Lonchura striata: one gene and its partner. The protein of the gene in region 2 interacts with the protein of the main gene of each other region in a pairwise test. Links are inferred from orthologs where the notes say so. Each region holds a gene or a part of one and is shown on either strand. Other genes may lie near its edges.

The links.
Region 1: the proteins of LITAF (region 2) and HIP1 interact in binary tests that used the Homo sapiens proteins (3 or more experiments, as listed by UniProt). The link is inferred for Lonchura striata from reciprocal best matches to the Homo sapiens genes LITAF and HIP1.

Annotation. Positions count from the first base shown.
Region 1 is NC_134622.1:1,001,937-1,012,723, forward strand, and holds the start of HIP1 (huntingtin-interacting protein 1), read right to left. Parts: upstream 4,726-10,787; 5' UTR 4,675-4,725; coding exon 4,558-4,674; intron 4,330-4,557; exon of another isoform or gene 3,413-4,329; coding exon of another isoform or gene 3,371-3,412; intron 1-3,370. UniProt on the Homo sapiens protein: Plays a role in clathrin-mediated endocytosis and trafficking. Involved in regulating AMPA receptor trafficking in the central nervous system in an NMDA-dependent manner. Regulates presynaptic nerve terminal activity.
Region 2 is NC_134618.1:7,965,149-7,975,973, forward strand, and holds the start of LITAF (lipopolysaccharide-induced tumor necrosis factor-alpha factor), read right to left. Parts: upstream 5,007-10,825; 5' UTR 4,848-5,006; intron 870-4,847; 5' UTR 865-869; coding exon 687-864; intron 318-686; coding exon 161-317; intron 1-160.

The DNA.
Region 1 (10,787 bases), on a different chromosome or scaffold from region 2:
GCATCTGAACCACAAAAACTGGTTTTTTTTTCAGTAGTAAATGGAATTTCCTTTGCAACTGCGAGTTCGACTGAGCTAGGTCTGATCTCTAATTAGCTGGGTTGCTGTGTCTGGAAAACACAGGACCATTTTCCCACTTATAAGAATGCTGGGAGAAAAGGATTAATTGCATTAATGGAGCTGTGATGGCGGCCCAGAGGTGACACAGCCCATGGTAGGGACAGGATGGGCACAATCTGCTTTTAACCTGTATTTGGCTGTGAAAAAGTTGGGTTGACATATCAAAAGAATTTATTAACTGACACTGAGGGAGAAAAAAAAATCAATTTCATTTGTGCCTGATACTTTTTATTTTGCACCATCTCTCTGCACCTGGTTTTAGAGAAGGCTCCTCCAGCAGCAAGGCAAGAAGCAAAACAGCTTTGCAGCCCCTGAGGGATGGCTCATGGATACTAAGGACATTAAAACCTTCCAGAGCAGAAGTGGCATCAGCTACATTCAGAGTTCTGCATCTCCCTGGCATGGAAATGCCACACCTTCCCACTGGGAAATCCTTAGCAGGAGGATCTGACATCCCCAGCACCACCCTGGAGACTCTGATGGCAGGAGTGGAGATGTAGCCAGCAATCACCTTCTGCTGCAAATATGTCTTTGCAGGGTAATTTCTGAGCCATAAATTGCTTTTATTGTTGCACACAGTCCTAGGGACCATCGTGTAAATGTGCTAGAGGTAGTGGCAGCTGTGGGCAGTCCAAGTGGTCCCTGTTCCCCTTTGCTGCTCCTTGAATTTACCAGAAAAAAACGGCAGCCAAAGAACCTAAAATGTAAGTTTTTTAGATTTTCTGCAGGAATTTTAAAGAAGGATCTCCTCCCAACCCCCACCCTTGTCAGGATTCCATCCCTTGGAATTGTCCCTATGGCAGGGACCATGCTGGGCATGCAGCCTCATTGGATGGCATGAAGCCCCAGCAGCCATGAGCTCTGGGAAACAAACATGGAATTTCTGTAGCTCCTCCACAGCCCTGGGCACTGTCTCCACCTCATGTTCTCATCCTTGGGACACAGCACGGACTCAGGACAGGGCAGCCTGCAGTGGTGTGGGACATGATGGCTCCTGATGGAACACAGCTGGGCACTAGAGCAGTGCTCAGGATGGGAGACACAAGATAATTATTTGGTGACTTTGCAGCCCAGGAGATGACAACACACCAGCATAATATGCCACCTCCCTTCCACCCAAAATCCACAAGATGGGGACAAGGACTAAAGACCAGGGCATGTCCTACTACAGCTTTAATGTCACTTCCCTCAATTTTGATATCTGAGCGTTTTTGCCCAATGCAGTGATGAGTTTAAAAAAAGAAGGAACAAGTTGGTGCAGGAAGAGCTGAGCTGTGTAAGGATCTTTCGTAAGGATCTTTCCACACCTCCAGCCTTCCAGGAGTCAGCTGCTGCTTTGCTTGGGAATGTCATGTACCACCTCTGGGAGTCTGCAGTTGCACCTGCACTGATGCCCTGCTGGCCATATCCCTGCTGGGAATGAAGGGAAATAAATATCCCATGGCACTGCAAAACATGAGTGAAGGAGCAGGAGAGGCTGGGGGATCACCCCTGGAGCATCATCCCTGCCCCGCTGAAGTCCTGTGTCCTTCCAACCCTGACTTCACCCTCAACACTTTGGCTCATCCAATTGTTGAACACCCAGTCTTTGCCAACTAGCCAAGCACAGAAGGAATTTCAGTCCTTGGCTCCATCATGGCACAAGGATGTCTGCTGTGGACAATTACAGCATGGAAAGAGGAAGAAGGAGGGAAGGTCCCAAGGAGGGAAGATCCCAAGCACTACTCTAAACAAAGAAGACCTTCCCTGCAGAGCTCCAGCACCAGCGCATACCCCTTAATCCAACCAGGAGAACTTGGAGGGGATGCAAACTTCAGACACCATGTGAAACATTTATCTTAAAATGTGGCAGGATTTTCACTTTCAATGTTTTTTTCTCCTCCGTTAGTGATCCTTGCTGTGCCCAAAGATTTGTGCCAAGGTTGAGGTGGTGAATGGTGAATCACCACATGAAACATCAGCAAAGGGGGAACAGTCATTGCAACACTCATACTCCCTGATGGCAGCAGAACTGCAGGATTTGGTGTCCCTGTTGCTCAACTTCCTATGAAAATTATCAGCATCGACAGAAAAGGAATAGAGCAGTCCTTGGCTGTGTCTTGTTCTTCCTGAGCTGCTCTTGCCCAGCAGGCAGCAAGAACAGCATGAAAGGAACACCATGTCTGGGCATGTCCTCAGGTTTCCCACATTTGCATTCCCAGGAAAATCAATATACTTGCACAACTGTAGGAGCAGAAGAGAGGCCACCAGGAAATTTACTGCTGTTTGTCTGCAAGCCAACAGATGGAGGCTGTCAGGACAGAATTGTTGTGCAATGCAAATGCAATAACCACCATGGAAGCTTTCCACCACCAGAATATCCCACCACCATGGAACAATTCTAGCACCAGTTTACCACCACCACAGAAACATCCTATCACCACAGGAACATCCCACCTCCAGACCTCCCCACTACTAGGATGTCCTACCACCACCACAGCTTTGTAGGGTGCTCTTGTTCTTCCAAACTGAGCTCAGACCACAGAAACTGGGTGCTGCCAACCCAAGCAGGTGTTCCTCAGGCTCCCCAAAGGCCCATTTGGATACACTTTCTGCCTGTTTTAGCACTTTTACCCCAAAATAAGCGTTGCGATGTATGTGCTGCTGCCTTGAGACAGCCAGGATTGGGGGGAGGGAAGGAGTCTGTACATGCTAAAAACACAGGGAAATTTTTCATTTTAAAGCCATTTAACAGATGAAAGTTTTCTTAAAAGAAGTCACTTTCAAAAAGAAAAAACCCAAAGCCACAAAGTTTCTCTAAAAAAAAAACCTCAGAAAGAAGAAGTTGGACAAAAATTGTACAACCAAGACCTAACGGGTGCCTGGCAAGTTCTCTAAAGTGGAGAGAATTATGGGGAAAAAAAAAAAAAAAAAAAAAAAAAAAAGAGGGAGAAAAAATTAGTTAGAAAGGGAATTGCACGGAGCTGAAGCACAGAAGAAGAAAAAGCTAGACAAGGCCATGCTGTGTCATTAGTCTGGAAATAAGATGAGGAAGATGAAATCCAGCTCGTAGCAATGTGGGGAGTGGTGCCGCTCCACCACCCTCTCCACTCAGCCCTTCCCAGGAAACCACTAGCTCAGGGGGAGCCTGAGAGAGCTCCAGGCCCATCCGGCTGTTGCTGACACAACACGGAGCCAGAAGGTTCCAGGAGCAAACCAGTTCCATTCCTACCTTTAGCAGTATGAGTAAATAATTGATGTCTGAGGTAACCTGAGCGGGAAGGTGAGCAGAGCCTTGCACATGATCCTGCATCCAACTTCATGGCCTGGTGGGTTTTCTTCCTGCAAAACCCCCTCAGACATGATCCTTGGTGTTTATTTCCATCTCTAAGCCATATCCCATGTGTTGCTCCCACTCTGGGCTCATTCAAGTCTGCTTCCACTGGTCCCATTTCTACCCTTGCTCCTGCCTCAGTTTCCCTTCCTCTCCCACGGTAGGTCTGGACAGTTCTGCTTCACTGGTACTTTCCATCCCTGGACATGGAGCAGAGCCAAGCTGTCCCCAGCTCCCTCTGCCGCCATCCCTCTCTCTTCACTCCCCCCATGCTTTGATGCTTTATCCAGGCATATCCCCAGCTGCTCCAAGCACAGCCTTTCCCCAAATCACCAGCTTTTTCCACCAAAGCACCCCTACTGCCCTTCCAGTTTGGCTGCCACCTTTCCTCTGTGCAGGACATCAATCCATCACCTAAAACCTGAGCAAAGGGCCCCATCCACCCCCATACTCTGGATGCTGCTGACAGTGCCTCTTCCCAGGAGCCAACTGCAGGGACAGACCCTGTCCACACCTGGGGTCTCGGTGTGACACAGGAGCAGAACTGACTCCACTGGCCAAAGAGCCACTTCTGTGTTCCCTCCAGCCAGGGAACACAGGCTATGTGTGCTCAGGGAGGTTCCAAGGACAGGGTGGCACCGTCCTGGGCATGATGCCTGGCTGTGGCCGGGCTTGGAGACTTGGCAGCTCAGGCCAGCGGGTCAATGTTCCCTAGCCCCGCTGCTGGGAAGGCCAGGCTGAACAAACACTGCTGGGCTGGGGCATCCCGGCTGTTCCTCCAGGGCCGGCTCCAGCCCTAGCCACGAAGTCCGGCGGGTCCCCAACCCCGTCGCCCCAGGGCGACCCGCGGCCCTCCTCCGCCAATCCCCCCGACCTGCCGCCAACCCAGCTGCGCCCTTGCGCCAGCACCAACCCGCCAGGCAGCTCCATCTGGCTCTGGCTCACCCGGCTGGCCGCGCCCACCCAAACAACCTCGCCCACCTCGGGTAACCCCGCCCGCCTGGCACAGGTACGGGCGAGCCGTGCCCACCGCACCGCGCCGCGCCCCGGCTCGCCCCGCCCGTCAGCCACCGCCTTCCCCTCCTCACCGCTCGCATCCCCGCCCCGCCCCGCCCTGCCCGCACCTGGGCGCGCTCGAAGCTCTCCCGCTCGGCCTCCAGGCTGCCGCCGCCTGCCCGCCGGCTTAGCACCTTGGGCAGCGGGTTGGCCACCTGCTTCATGGTGCTGCTCACCCGCTCCATGGCCGCCCGACCCGGCCCGCCGCCCGGCCCGCGCCGCGCCGCCACCGCGGGCCCTGCGCCATTGGCCCGCCCGCCTGCCCCTCACGGCCCGCGGGCACCACCCTCCCAGCCGAGCCCCCCCCCACCGGCCCGGATTCTCACTCTCATTGGTTCATATGGACGTCAATCAACGCAAGCTCCCGCCTCCCCAGTCCCCCTGCTCTTTGCTCCGCCTTCAGGGGCCGCGCCCTTAGCACCGCCCACCCGAGCGCCGCGGCCACGCCTTTGCGCAGTTCCCTACTGTGATTGGTCCGCGGCCCTGCCGCTCAGACACCGGTGTCCCGCCCCGCCCCTCCCCTGTATGGGGCGCGGCGCCCCCTGGCGTCGGCGGACTGATCGGGACGCGCCGGGCCGAGCCCAGGGGCCGCCGTGGGCTCCGCCGGGCCCGGGGGCGGCCGCCGTGCACCGGCTCCGAGCCGCGGCTGAGCCCTCCGGGGCCGCCGTGCACCGGCTCCGAGCCGCGGCTGAGCCCTCCGGGGCCGCCGGCCGCCGAGCCCCGTATGGCTCCGTGAGGCTGCGGCCCCTCGGCCGAGCCCGGCGCGTGGCCACGGGGTGACCCGGCACCGCCGCCCCGTCCCCGCTGTCCGCCTTGGGCCGGGCCGCCCCTCACGGGTGTTCGTGGCTCCCCACGGCCTGGGCCGGGGGTGGGGAGGCGGCTCCGCCGGCTGTCAGCGCCAGCAGAGCCCCGCAGCCTGCGGAAGGGTCGTGTGAGGCTTTTCCCGTGTGGGATCCAGGCTGGGGGTGGGAGCTCTGCAGGGCATTGCTGCAGGCACAGCTGGCAGAGCCCAACAGGAAGTGTGTAGCATTGGCAGAGGGGCAAAATGTGGTTACAGGGGTCTGAAAAACGCCAATCATTTGGTTTTTAAAATTTTATACGTTTAATAATAATAAAATTGTTATAAAAATAATAATACAATTAGGGTAATAAAGTTTAGAGTTAGGACAATTACAAGACAATAAAAAGCAAAGAATTATGGATGTCCGGATGCTCTCATACACTAAGTCACGAAAAGCATGACTTGTGAACAAAGGAATCACCCTTAAACTAATACACTTGTTGCATATTCATACATCCTTTATGGTTATGCATACGTTCTATTTTAAACAAGAAACTCTGTTGTATGTCAACTGTTTCCTTTAATCCCCTGGCGTCTTCGAGTCTGAGAAAGGCCTGAAGAAATTAGCTTCTTCTCATAAGAAGCCATAAATTCCTCTCCTTTGGAAGATTTAGGTGTTCCTCGAAGCCAGTATCTCATTCCTAAAAAGAAAAGTCCCCCCACATACATAGTCTCTATTTTAACATTATGTTGTAACCTAAAACTACACTTAACACAATACGTAAGAGAATTAATACAGCATAACTTTCTAACATTACACATATAATATTCATTGTAACATTTGCGAAAAGCCAATCACAAATATGCATTTTTCACAATGGGGTCTGAAAAAGAAGAGAGGAAAGGTGAGAGAAGGATTTTGTTTCCCCTGGACTGTGTTTTATTATAACTTGATCTGGTCCTGTCACTCTAATCAGAGATTTTTGTAGCATTAGATTGGATATCAGGAAGGAATTATTGACTGTAAGGGTGGTTGAAGCCCTGGCACAGGTTGCCCAGAGAAGCTGTGGCTGCCCCATTGCTGGAAGTTACCCAGGCCACACTGCATAGGGCTTGGAGCAGCTTGGTCTAGTCAAAGGTGTGCAGGAGGTGGAACAGGATTGTTGGAAATTATACAACTTCTAAATTTTTAAACTAACTTTAGTCAGTGGTTTCGTTCATCTTTGCCCAGGAAGGGAATGGAAGTTTCTTTTCAAGAGACTGTTCCCTAGGCAAGGCCTGATGAGTTTAACATCTCAAGGGACTGGGAGTGCCAAAGGATGCACAAGAGATAAGCGACCATTAATGAACATCAACATCTGAACATCCTTCCTGTTGTGTCGGAGACACTTAGTCCAGGAAAAGATCATAAAAGAAGAATGAGGGCCCGATGAGTATCGAAGGTGAAGAGATCAATAACCAATAGGAAACCAAATTCTAAGAACTGTGTAACTTCAGACCAATAAACATTGAACCAATGAATCTCTCTGAGTTTTAACTGTATAAGTATGTAAAAATCTAGAAAAGAGACATGTGATGGAATTATTTTCTTTGCACAACCCAATGTGTGGATGAAATTACTTCTGTTGCACATCCTGGCCAGAACATCATCCTGGCCAGAATAAAATAACGCTTGAGTTCTCTAACATTAAAAATTGTTCAAAAGGTTTTGTTTTTCCTGCTGTTTAAGTGACAGGATGAACTTTAAAGTTTCTTCCAACTCAAACCATTCTGGGATTCTCTCAACCTGGCGAATTACTGGCTCCTGTAATTTTGACCAGGACTATCATCCTATTCCAGAGGTGAATTTCTCACTTGGAACATTTCTACAATACTGGGAGGAATTCCTTTTTTTTTTTTTTTTTTTTTTTTTTTTTTTGTTTTGTTTTGTTTTGTTTTGTGAAGAGACTGAAAACTGAATTCCCAGATATGGCAAATGGGCCATGCTGGGACTGTGCCAGCTGGGTTCCTGAATCCTTAAAAGCAGATCATAACAAATCAGTGACTTTGCTCCAGGTGGGGAGAAACTGTGCAAAACACTGCTGGGGTGATGGGGCAATCTGGAAACAGCTGTTTAGCATGTAGGCTGTCAGGAGCTCTTGTGTAAGCAATCCTCCCAGCATATCTCTCTTTTCTGACTTTTTCAGCTGAAATAATTGCCACACCAGGACCCTCCTGGAGCTGCCCAGCAGGGTGTGTGACAGCCTGTTTGCATCACAGGCCTTACCAGTCCCTGTGCATTGGACAGCAAATCCCAGCTGATGGGAAATGGCCTGCGTGGAGCAGCGAGACCATTCCTCCCACTTGTCTCAAGTGCCTGTCTGCATTGTCCTTAATGTACTTTCTGGAAACCTGCCTCCTTCCTTGGGGCTGCTCCCAGGGGAAGTTTAATGGGTTTGATTCATCCACTGTTGCAGCGAGATGATTAATAATTGAAGAAATTACATCATTGCTGAATAGAGATGGAGGAAAGGAAGAGCAAAGGAAGGGACTGGACAAAGGATAGTGGTGCCTTGTGATCTGGACCTCTCCCACCCTCCACCTCACTGGGAACATCCTGCTCCTGGAGCCCATGGCAAGAGACCACTAGGCTGAGGCTTGGTATAGCTGCTTCCTCCTACTGAAGAGCAGAGCCACATCCTCTTTGTCCCTAGCCAGGGCCCAGTGCTCATGCTGGGACCTGGGCAGGAACAGAGCAAGGTGCTTGGATGCGGGACAGAGCAGGCTGTTTCTACTGGCTGCTTCTGCCTCTCCCAGGAAGGGGCTGTAACAGGATAGAACTGGGATCCAGCCCATGAGCTGCTGGTCAGACCACCCTGGGCTGGCCTATTCCACGCAGCCTTTCTGCTGGAATGTGCTGTGGGGATTTGCAGGGATTTGAGAGGCTCCTTCCCAGTGGGAGAGAGTGCCTTGTTTTCAGGTAGTTGAGAGGGGAAGGCACAGAGCTGTTCCTGTGCAGCATCTGTTCCTCTGCCTCAGGTTCCATGGGGAGATGATGGGGAAGGGCTGAAACTGAGCAGGGTGGAGGTAGAGCAGGTTGGGCATTGCTCTTCCTCCCCAGCAGGTCCTTTTTGGAAGCCATGGCTGGGGTTCACCTGTTCTCAGAGTGCTCTCTCCTCACTCCTGTCCAAGAGGCTGGACTGAAGGGTGATAGCAGAGCCCCTCGTGGGGGTGTCTGGCCTGTGTGGGGACAGACATTGTCTGGACATGGAGAGGACCATGTGTGCCCTCTCTTTTTTCCTGCTCAGCAGTATGTGGCACCAATCAAGTACTGCTCAGGCCAGGCAGGTGGGACTGGAGCTCATCCTTCCCCTGTTGCAGGGCTCCGTAGGGCAGTTCCCTCTTTATTCTCCATGCCCAGAGGTTCCTGTCCACAGGATCCTAAAGGAGGTCTGCTCCCATTCTGTCAGGACACCCTTAACCCAAATGGGAAGGCCAAGTAACAGGAGTGGGACCAGAAGGGACTGCAGGGGCTATGGGCCCTGTCTGGGGCTCAGGGATGCACTTTTCATGGGGGCTGGGAGCTAGAGTCTGTTTTTATAATTCCCTCCCCAGCCAGAGCTGGAGAGTCCCAGGGTGCTGCTGCAACAGTCATCACCCTCTTGTGGCCTGGCCTGGGCTCAGGGAGAGGACAGATCCCCCTTGTTTCAACAGGAAAACAGAATCACAGAGCTCCACAGTCCTTCCTCTGTTATCCTGCTGGCTGTGCTGGAGTGGGCTGGCACAGGGCTCTGTGCTAAGATCCCTTCTCTTTCCACCTTGGAGGTGGGAAAAATGGATCCCAAATGGATCCCCTTCAGTCCCTTTACACATTCCAAGGCAGGCCCAGATGCAGCCCTGCCCTGGTGATGGGGTAATTTGCTCAGACTCTGGGACAAAAACAACTTCTGAGCCGAAGTATCCATCTGGAGAGGGCAGAGTAGTAGTCCAGACCCAGCAGGAGGGTCCTTGAGGAGCAAAGATTGTGCCAGGAGGAGCAGGCATGGAAGCATGGGGAGGATATTCATCTTTTGATACTGTGTTTTGAATGCTTTGGGCAAACAGATGTTGCTACTGAGTCTTTGCTTGTGCTCCCAAAGAGACCCTGGGCTGCTATGTGGGGCAGGGACAGTCTTGGTGCAGGATCTGGGAGGGCATTGGAGAGCACTGGAGACAGAACAAGGTGGGACTGGGAGAGGGTCTTGGACAGGACTGCTTGGCTAAGGTGCTTGAGGTCCAGTGGGGCCCTCACCTCTGTCCTGTCTGGGTCTCCTACTTTCTCAGGTGTTACAAGGAGGGCTGTAACCCCAAAACGTCATCTGCTGTGTTTTCTGCACGGAAGCCTCAGCAACTGCCTCTGCTTGCCCAAGAATTCAAAAGCAAAGCTGAAGAGGTTTCCAGATGAATCTGCAGAAGAGCTGAGCTCCACAGGGACACTGAGCTGCAGGGGCAGATGCCTAGGTGAGAAACCAGCTCACAAGCAGGACCTGGAGGTAGGGAATGTTTTTGCCACTTGCTGGAGAGTGTCCCCATGGCATGGCCAGCAGGTCCAGCTAGAGCACCCCACCGAGCCCAGGTCTCTTCCAAGGCAGGACATGGCAAGCCTGATTTCACATAATCAATGGGTTGGAAAAGACCTCCAAGATCATAAAGTCCAACCTATGACTGATCACCACCACGTCAATTAGACACTAAGTGTCACATCCAGTCATCTCCTGGGATGGTGACTCCACCACCTCCCTGGGCAGCCCATTCCAATGTCTGATAACCCTTTCTGTGAATAAATTCTTCTTAATTCTTCCTTTATTTCTGTGTTGGAAGCTTTGGCTGCCAGAGTTGGATTACTGAGGAAAGGATTTCAGTGTAAGACTTGGGATGTAACAGAGTTGAGCGTGGGAGCCCTGTGCTCATTGCAGTGCAGTCTTGGGAGAGCACAAGGCAGGTACTGTGGCATGGCATGGGCATGGATCTGGAGAGCCAGTACATCCCTGTCTTCCCTTTATGATACAGGAAACGTTCTGGCTCTCTACAACTCCCTGGCAGGAGGGTGGATCCAGGTGTGGGTCAGGCTCTTCTCCTAGGGAACAAGTGATAGGACAAGGGGAAACAGCCTCAAGTTGAACCAAAGGAGGTTCAGGTTGGATATTAAGGAACATTTCCTCACTGAAAGACTGGTCAAGAATCAGAATGGGCTGCCCAGGGCAGTGGTGGAGTCACCATCCCTGGAGGGATTTAACAGAAATAGAGATGTGATGCTTAGGGCTACAGTTAGTGGTGGGAGTGCTGTACTCAATGATGTTAGAGGTCTTTTCCAACCTGAATGACTCCATGATTTCTATGTTTTCCATGATCCAACATCCACCAGTACCCTTGTCAAATGTTGTTTTCATGATTCCTGCAACTCCATGGCCTGACTTGCAGATGTCCCCTGTACCTCCAGCTGATGACAACAGGTGGCAGAGTGTGCAAGGACAATGCAACTGTCATTCTGGTGCTTGG
Region 2 (10,825 bases):
CATTACCGTAATGTTCCAGAGCCAGTAGGACACAGATGCAGATGAAGGCTAATTGAACCACAAAGGCTCAAATCCACACAAAGAAAGCAAAGCTGAGAGCTCTATTACATGTTAGACCAAAAAAAAGTCAAGGTAAAAGTGCAAATTGGAGTTTACTTACCCCAGCAAGCAGAGGCCACCACATGACAGCCAGGTCAAAGCTCCTGAGTCATACGAGAGACGTGTCACTATCATCTGGTTACAGGAAGGGCAGCACATCTGAACTGGGCGGTCATAAAACACTACTGGCTGCTGCACATACACCGTCTGAACAGTAACTGAGCAGAGAAATGGCTGTTTACTCCATGAGGAACAGGAAAAGAGTAGTAATCAACTTCCTCTAAACCAGGTATAACTTAAATAGTCAGGGCTCAGAACAATGAAATACACAGAGAGAAATAACCATGGCATTTCCCAATGCAGAAATACACTGTCTTAAAAATAAAGCTGCACTAAAACCTGCAGAAAGCCAAATTACATTATTGATATCACATCGCACTGAGGGATTCACAATAATTGATTCATCTTACTCTCTTCAAAAGTATTTTTGCCAGGCATTGAACACCTGTGAACCATGATTTTTCATCTTCTAACAGTCACTTTGACAGCACCTTAACATGAGGTGCAAAAGGAGTTTTGAGGCTTACTGGGGTTATTTGCTGGTGGAGGTTGTCCCATGTGCGGGGGAAGGTTCATTCCCTTCTCATCTGGCTTCTGTCCAGGGCCAGGGACGGGATAGGGGTGAGGATAGTTCATGTTGATTCCTAAGGCTTCCTCATAAGAAGGTGGTGCAGATGGGACAGGATTGCCACTTGGAGCAGACATTATATCTAAAACATAAAAGGGAGAAAATCATAACAAAAGGTTTTATTTATTGATGGCAATTGACAAATAATTAGGCTCAATTCAACAGCAAGGCGATAACTATATTAAAAGGGACTTTAACCAGCATAAAATTAACTGGCTGGTATTTGTTTCTGATCATATTAAATGTTAATCTTGATTTCACTGTTGTTGTTGCCTACTTCCCAATTCCTTTTCACTGGGAATTTTTTACACTTTGGCCCAATACCAATTCTTCCTTTATAAGTTAAAAATACTAAAGTAGGGAGGTGGGGCATCTTTATTAGTATATGAAACAATCTGACATTCTTGTAATTCTCCAAGAACACTATTTCTGATCCCTCTTGTTCACCTGAAAAACAGAACACTATGATAGGCCACATAGTAGTTGCTAACCAACATGAGTCTGGTTTGTGGTGAAACTTATTTAAATGAAAATATTTAAAAAATACGATTTAACTCTGTTGTAATTTGAAATAAGTAAATATATTGAAGGAAAAAGAAACCCAAACAATTAAGCATGTCCAACTAAACTCCAAGCTTTTACAACTATCAAATATATCTAATATATCTACCCTTGCCATTTTTGCTTAGCAATGTTTTAACGAGTTTGTATGGTAAATTTTCCTCCACCAATTGTTAATTTGTTGCAGAGAACAGGAATGCTGATCACCGCCAAGAAACTACTGTGGTTTCAATGCAGACTTCCTCTCCTCCTCCCCACCTACCCACTTCCTATAGTCTGCCCACCATTTTCTTAGTGGAACAAGATCTCCTGGCATCAGTGCTGACCAAGCACCTCCCTTTCCCCCTTCCTCCTAAGGACCATCAGACAGCTCTCCAAGACCCACACTCCATTCTGTTGCTGCACACACGATCCCTCTGTACACATGCAAGTATCTTCACTCAGTACTATCTGGAAAAGGCAACCTATATTTGGAATATTAATTCTATGGTGCCACAAACGTTATATAGGAGCTCCAATTACCCACAGCAGTACTAAGAATAAAAGAAGAGAAATTGCATTGATGCAATTTACAGGTACAAAAGACAACATGCAAAGAGAAAGAATTTCAGATGTGTCTATTTAGGACTGGGCTCACTCCATCCACATAAGTTTGGGTGAGACCCAGCACAGAAGTGCAGTGTATACAATGACACAAGCCTTTCCACTCTCCCAGAGCATGGAAAAGTCCCTGGAATAATGCTGATTACCTTCCTCACACAATACAGCTTTCATCAGGATTTCAGTCAAGTCTATAAACACTTCCACAAAGAACTTGTCACAGGTTTGTTCACTCTTCCAAGTTACACAGGACTACTCAGCTGCACTGTAGGCATGGGGATACACCAGGAAACACCTATGTTTATATACTTCAGGAGTCCCACAGTCTTCTCAGCAGATTTAGCAGAAATGTGGAAAGGTGTATTACAAAGGGAATTGTGTACTCAATCAAGAGTGTGTTTGATAGTAGTCCTGTGGCCAGGACAAACACAGGAGCTGGTACAGAAGAACATAAGTGGCTACAGGTGCTGTCAGCCTGGAACATTGCTCTTTCCCACCTTTCTCATACTCACACTGCAACTTTGGCAGAATGAAAACGGAACAAGACAGCAGTCAAAGATGTTGAAACTCAGTAAGATTTTGTAGCAACAAGTATTTCACAGCTATACCTTTAAAAAACACTGATCTGTTTTCTTTAGAAAAGAGAAGTTTACTCCTTGTGACTAAACTACAGAGCTGAATCACGATCTACTGTCCTCACTTGGTACGCTGGTGTTGGCTGGGGGTGTACAAGAAGCCAGGAGGGGACACTGCCAGAACAGCTGACCCCAGCTGACCATAGGGATATTCCAGACCATAAAGCATCATGCTCAGCAATAAAACCAGGAAGGTTTTTGGAGGGATGTGCTACTCAGGGACTGGCTGGGCATTCATTGGTTTGTTGCTGGCGAGCAACTGTTCTAATTTGCTTCACTTGCTGGATTGTATTTCCCTCTGCTACTCTCCTTTTCATTACAACTATTAAATTATTATTTTTCTTAATTATTTTATTTCAATTATGAGACAGTTCTTATCTCAACCCATGAGTTTTCTTACACCCATCCAGTTTCTTCAGGGGTGCATTGCGTGAGCAGCTGTGTGGTACTCAGTTGCCAGGTGGGGTTAAATACAAAACTACTTCAGCTGCTCAGATCTGCTTCACTGACAAGCAAGTTCTAAGAAACTGAAAGACACTCTTTCAGAGATTTCAAAATGATATAACTTCCAGCATGAACACTTCAAGTTTTGATATTTGCTTTATATTGCATGTTTATTTCTTACCACCAAATGGTTTTGAACAACCATTTCAAAGTAATCACTGTGCTTTTTCTGCACTTTCACTTTTTTTTTTTTTTTGTAGACAAACGTGAACAAGTCTTAGGTTCTTGCAGCACTTTGTAGCATCTCTTTTTTTTTTAAATTTCAAATCTGTAGCACAAATAACATGTACAAAATACTACAGTGAATGGTAAAAAAAATGTATTAACTCCTTCAAGTTATCTATCAAAACAAAAATTCCTAATAAACATCCAGATGACATCAGGACTACAAAAAAGGCCTCTTCAAAGTACCGCGTACTGCAGATGTAACCACAACTTCAGCTTTTAATTTCATTTTTCTCATGTCCCTTCTGCTTTAAATGCCAACACTGAAGAGCTATTTGAGCCACCACTTCATACAGCCAGTGCAAATGCACAAGTGTGTTTCACACTCCACATCTTGAAAATTAGGCTGGGGACAAGGGAAAAAGAAGGTAATAGCCCACCTCTCTGCTTGGTATGTAAAAATACAACCAACCAAAAACCCATCCAATAAGAACTGCTTACAATTACAACTATCCTAACGCAGTGTGGCCAAACAAATGTGTTGCTGCCCTTCCCTTAATCTCTTGCAAAATCTGACACAACTTAATTAAATTAAATTAAATTAAACAATTCCTACACAGTCCTCTTCACTAGAAATCCCAAACAACCTTCCAACACCACGGGTGGTTTAGAGGGTTCCCTGCACATCAGAGTCTAAGACAGATACTGGTCAGCAACACTGAGAATGAAATACAGGTTGAAGGCTATTAACAACCCAGCAGGATATACAGGTTTATCAGAGCACTCGGATTTTTGCAGTGCAAAGCCCTAACACAGCACCTTCTTGGACCACCACTTCGTCTGAACTCTGGACAACTTCCTAGTTTACCAACTTGCTGAGAAATACTATCTCAAAGTTGTTTACATTTCCCAGGCATTTGTGAGAGAATAAAATCCAGTAATCACAACAAAAAAGACTCTGACATATTATTATTTCAGGAAGAACCAATGGCATTGTGGTCACATTGAATTTTGTACTGTCATAGTACAAATAGAATCCGCACGGTGTGTTCCGGCGGCAGAAGCGATTTCAGAGGTTAGAGTGCTACTTCTATCAAGTAATCAATAGTTTTGGAATAATCCTGTGAGTGGCTTAATCCTGTGAGTAACCCGCTCCTCGGGGCAGGGCAGGGCCGGTCTGAGAGGAGCTGCTGCCGCGAGGATCCCGAGAGCATTCCCAAAAGAAAGGGGCCACCTTCCGCCTGCCACACTCGGGAAAGCGAAACTCCGGCCTCGCTCGGCCCCCGCCCGCATCGCCGAGGGCGGGAGTCGCCCAGGGCCTCTCCCGGACCGTCCCGGGACCGAGACCGGGACCGTGCCGCTCGGGACGCCGCTGGCCCGCGAAGCCCCAACCTGCCCGCGGTGCCCCGGGGGCTCCTGCGGGGCGGGACCAGCCCAGAGCCGCGGCTTCTCCCCGTCCCCGCCGCCGGGCCGGAGCACTGGGAGCGGCGCGGAGGGCAGCGCCGGCGCGCAGGAGCGGCCCCGGCGGCGGAGCAAAGCCCCCCCCGCCGCGTTCTGCCCTGCCCGCGGCACCGCCAGGCTCCGGGCTCCCTTACCGTGCCGAGCCGTGCTCGCCAGCCCTCCTCGCCTCCGCTCGCCCGGGTGCAGCCACCGTCAGCACGGATTGTCCCGTCCCGTCCCGTCCCCACCCGCCTTTCCTCCTCCCCTTCCCCTTAGAGCCGCGAGCAGGCGCCGCGGGCGTTGCCCCGGCCGGGCCTTGCCCCGACTCCCTCCCCTGAGCCATCGGCTCCCGGCAGCGTGAAGGGAAGGGAAGGGAAGAGAAGGGAAGGGAAGGGAAGGGAAGGGAAGGGAAGGGAAGGGAAGGGAAGGGAAGGGAAGGGAAGGGAAGGGAAGGGAGCCTGTGGAAGTACAGGCACTCCTGGCGCATTTCGCAGTCACGGCGATCGGCAAACTTTAGCAGGGCCTATCGCAACAGGAAAAGATATGATGATTTTAAAGTGAAGGAGGGGGTTGATTTAGATTATATTAGGAGGCTTTTATAATGTGGGTGGTAAACTATTGTCACAGTTTGCCAAGAGATGTGGTGGATGCCCCTAGAAACATTCAAGGCTGGGTTGGGCAGAGCTCTGAGCAACCTGGTCTACTGAAGGGTGTCTCTGCTCATTGTAGGGGCCTTGGACTAAATGATATTTAAAGATCCCTTCCAACCCACACTGTTCTGTGATTCTGTGATGATGATGTTGATGGGAGTAAAGATGGTTAAGCAAAGGTCAGATGGCCTTTACTGCTGCCTCATCTGAGTGGAGGAGGAAGCAATACTAAAGTATCGTGCTTCTGTTCTTCCTTTGATTCAACCATTAATCCTAACTCAGCCTGACCAACAGTAACTGAAACCCTCATTATCCCTCATTTACCTAGGAAACAGACACCAGCATGCAACTGAGAAAGTGCCTTCGTCCCCATTATCTAAGATGAAAGCAACAGGTAACCAATTGTATTTGATAACAGTCTCGCCTCCATTTATCTGAAAATACAAAATTGATATTTGGAATCCACCACGTAGAGGATGAGAATATTCCCCATAGCTCCCCATTTCATAAACAAGTGGATGGTTTTGCTCCTCTCTCCTCCCCAAAGGAGAGATCCCTCTTTAGTAAATTTCATGTCTCTGTGTCAGACCATACTTGGGTGAAACTAAGCTTAATTAACTGTGAAGTTAAGTGTAATGAAAAACTGAATTTTTCATTTAGCTTGAAGCAAACTTAATTAACTATTGGCTGGTGCTAATGCAGTAACAGCATTTTTCAACAGCAATTCCAAATTTGTATTCCTGTTGCTTCAATAAGTAGCACTATTTGTGAATCTGTGCCAAATTTCATAGTCTAATGGAATAGAGCTGCAGCCCAACCAACTACCTGGGTTAGGCCCAGGAAGCCCATGCAGCTTCCCCAAAGCTGTGTTGGCACCCACAGAAGTTCCCTCCCTGCAGCAGACTGGGTGACTGGGGGGGGACATGGCCAGTGCCAGCTCAAGGTGTAGATGAGGAAATGTGGCTAGAAACTGATACAGCTTTTTATCTCCCCTCCCCCTGCTTCCCCATGAGCTGTGTACCTGAAGATTATAAACATAACTAGTTTTAAAAAAATCGTAAGAAAAAAGGGCCCCATGGCAGTTTCAGAAGCCTGACACACAAATGCAGCAGGATGGATCCACAAGAGTTCTGCTCCATCCTCAGTTCCCATGGCACGGTGTGATCAGCAGCCTCACCTGCTCTAGTCGCTGTTCAGCTTCTCTTTGCTGCGTTGAGCCATCACCAGGGCTGCTAACAGCACCATGGAAATGTATAAAGAATATAGTGGATGTTTTGTCATCGCACTGATTGGACACATGCTATTGCAGAACACCAGCAGATGTCAGTTTAGCCCCAAAAATAATTGCGTGCTGGATTTACTAGCTTTTGCTTTTACAGCAGTAGGTTTCTGTAAAAGAAGCTAAATGATGTTTAAAAGTTGATGTACATTTAAAAGCCTTTTAGCCATATCTTACATGCTGTAGTATGTTCTCAATAACGTGTAAAATAAGTAAACCTTCATCTCACCTTAAATTTCTCCTGCCTAAAAATCACAGGACTTGCACACATACAAATAAATATCTTTTTATAAATGTATATAATGTTGCATATACTGATTTGTTGAAGCTAGATAAGGGAATGACTATGACTATATATTTCTATGACTATATACTTACAGAGTTGTACCAGAATGCAGTTTCAGAGCAATGATCAATGTACAAAGACAGATTTAAAGAGAAGCAAGGTAGATACATTAAACCAAATAATCTGATAGCATAATTGTTTTTTCTTAACTGCTGAAATGCTAAGCAAACAGAACAAAAACTCCAACACAATTTCAATAGTTAGTACAATGATACAAGTGTTGAAATTCCCATGAGAAGCCTCAAAGATGACAACAGGATCCCACACTTCAGTGTAATTTATCATGTTAAACAGAAGTAGTATATATCTAGTCTAAAATTGGAAATGATTCCCCAGAAAAGCAATTGATTAACAGAATTGTGAAATTAATCCAAACCTAAATATTAGTACTTTGTTGTCCTTCTAGTACTGCTTCCTTCTTAATTACCAACTCCTGTAGTGTTATTTGATCATCATAACTGATAACAGCTGCCAGACTGCAAAACACAGTACAGCAAAATATTTAAGCATGCAAATCATATTATCTTCCCTAGAGAGTGAGACAGAAGTGTGGTGTCAAAAGAGGTAATGATAGATTTCTTTTTCTCAGAACACTTGGCACTTCATGTAAAGGATTATGAGAAGAACAACCACTCACTGCCAGTAATGGTTCTCCTAGTATGAACAACTAGAAAGAAACGGTTATGATAGAAAAGTTTTACCTTTAAAAACAGCAGGTCTGTCTTGATAAAGTCATCCATTATTTGATAGATTGATTATCTATTAATGCCATGACAAAACAGAGAGGAAAATTATGATTCTCCAAACATTTACCCTTCAAATTCATCTTCCTACTCCCTTGACAGGGTACAGGAAGGATATGATTTTAAAAATAAAGCTGCCTGATTATTTTTCCTGTAGTCAGAACTGAAACATGATTTCCACTGCTCTGATGTCATTGCTGAATGAAATGGTACAAAAATCCTTTCTTCATGCCCTTCCTCCAGAATAATGCCTGACCTGCTGTTTGGCCAAGCTCTGGTATAATATTGGCAAAAATCAGCCTTGCCAGCTCGTATATCTGACACTGAAATCACTGATCTAAATCTTACAGTGAAGCTTCCTGCTACTTTGATTGAGGCAGCAGCCAGAAATGTTTTCATGAAGTGCTTTGATCCAACTCTGTGGATCTAAAGTGAGTAAGGAATGACACAGTATTCTCTGTGCTTAATTCTAATATTCACACAGCTGTCATCTGGACACCAGGATTATTGTGATTTCATTGGGATATAGGCAATAAATACAGAAATATGTATAAAGATTGAGATCATATTACTAAAAATTCATAGTTGTCCAATAAGACTTTCCTTCAGGCCTCAAATACCTCCTTCTCTTAAAGTCTGTTTCTAGCATCACTCACACATTATATTAAGCTATATTCCAATAAGCATTTATTTTCTAATGCTTCTCTCACTTTATGAGTTACCAATATTGAATTATATAATAGTCTATAATTTCTAGGTTTTTTTTCTTAGGTTACTTGATTTAAGGATATCTTTGACATCATGTTTAGCATTTCAGCTCCCCACCTCTGGTAGGACTGCCTTCATTGAAGCCACTTCAGTGAATCTCTCAAGTCTCAGGTCCAAAGGGGTCAGTTCCTGTTTCAGGAACTCAGACATTATATGCCATATCTTGTCACTTGGTACTGGCTGTCTGTAGGAAGCAGCAAGCCAGGAAGCATATCATCTGGGCACAAATGTCATAGCTACAGAGCTAAAACACAACAGCAATGTGAGCATTAACAGCCATTTACCAAACAGATGACTAATCATGGTGAAATGCAATCTCATCCGCCATTGCTACACAGTAAGAAAACACTTCCCCAGATCTTGTGCAGCCTCGAGTGGCTTGTTACACTGGATGCCAAATATTTAGGACACTCCTTGTTTGAAATGAAACCTTTTGTCTTTTCAGACCGATCCTTTATGATAAACAAAGCAATCAGTAAACAATTGAACATGCTTACAAAGATTGGTAAAAAAGATGAGTGAACTAGAAAGCCTCAGGTAGGCTGGTGAGAGCTGGCTGATCTGCTGGGTGCAGAGATTCTGCAAGTCTTGATTGCATGCACAGCTCTTCTTGAATTTGCCCTGCAGCAAAATCATGTGGTCTGTGACACAATCACAACAGAATCTGTGGTTTAAAAATAAACTGCTTCTCTGCAAATTTATGGCTTGGTTTAGTCCAGCTTATAAATAAGTGTCCAGCACTGGTCAGCAAACACAGTTCCTTATGATTATCACATTGTGCATGGCCTCATTAATTGTCAATAGAGCCAGCTATTTTAGAATCTTCAAACAGTTGCAACACTTGGGTTTTGTCCCAGATGATTGTTGAGTAAGTCATCAGTTCTCTGAGCAGCTTATGTTACCCTCATTTGTATATCTGACCCAGCTACTTTACCACTTCCTTGATAGCTTTCAGCACTCCAGAGTTGCCTCACAAATCTATTAGAAGGAGCTGCCACCTCTGTGCACTAATTGTGTTCCACCCGCGTGCTGGGAGGGCTTGGTAATGGGCCCTTTTCCAGGATCTCTGCAGGAGCAATTCAAGACACCTGCCCTAAAGCCAGGAATGGCTCTGACCACCTGTAGGGCAGACACAGCTACCTACACAATGAAATTTATTGTTTCTTTAATCAAATGGGAGTAACAATAGTGACAATCCATCCACTAACTTTTATTAATTAAATCAAATTTGAATTACAGTCTTTTTTGTTTTAAACAAAAAATTGAGTCCAAATTAGATTTTAAGTCAGACCAACAGCTGAAGCTGTTTCATGTTAGAATTGTACTTTCAATGTAACAGCAAAAACATCACCTTTGTAACAATTTTTTTAACTTTAACATACTTGTTTTTGAGCACATTTACCATAAATTTTAGAAAAACAGGTAGTGGGCTGTCTCTAAAGGACTTCTACAAAAGTCCTTTAGACTATTATGCCTGCTGATCTCATTCAGCAGACATAATATTTTGACAAATACTGGGGGGATTAGAACCTTCCCCATAAGATTAATCCTTACGGCATTTGGAAAGGATTTTTCACTCACTAAAGAATGACATAAGAGCTGTCACTTGCATTCTACCAAGAAGGAATCAAGCTAATATAGGTCAATAAAGAATATAGATATCTTAATTTCAAATATCAGTACAAGTTGTTTATGTCTGTAATAAGAGGAATCTTTTTGCTTTCAAATTTGAAGCAAGGAAATTTCTAAAATTATTGTCTCCTTATTGTTGGCTTGTAGCACTTATGCAGCTTTGACAGATTTCTCAGAATGACTTCTGACTGGTTCCCAGATGAACATTTTAAGTTATTTATTTATACTTACTTAAATAGAAAACTGCAGAAAATTTTATGTTTTATAGTTTTAATAAGTGGAGCAGAGGAAATCAAGCATCCTCAAAATTAAAGGAACCAAGCAAACTCAAGTAACTTAAATTGAAAAATAAGTCCCAAGAAGAAAGATTGTTTGCATTGAGTTACAAATATCACATACACAAAATATTGTGGTCTTTAAATATTTGTCTCAGATTCAGACACAGTATGACTTGTCCACAAGATGGCAGGCACTGTATCCAGGAGGTTCTGACTCAGAAATGTACTTTGTAACATCTGTGGGGCAAAAAGCTTCATGTTAATTATCCTTCTTAATTTCTTCATCCTGATAGGCAAGCACAGAAGAAAATGTAGTGCCTAGAAAACATCTGATGATGACAGCTACTGTAAACTGTTTTGTAGGAACAGCTTTACCACTGCATAAATTCTGCAATAAAGTTTTCTAAACTAGAGCTATTCCAAACAAAAGCACCACA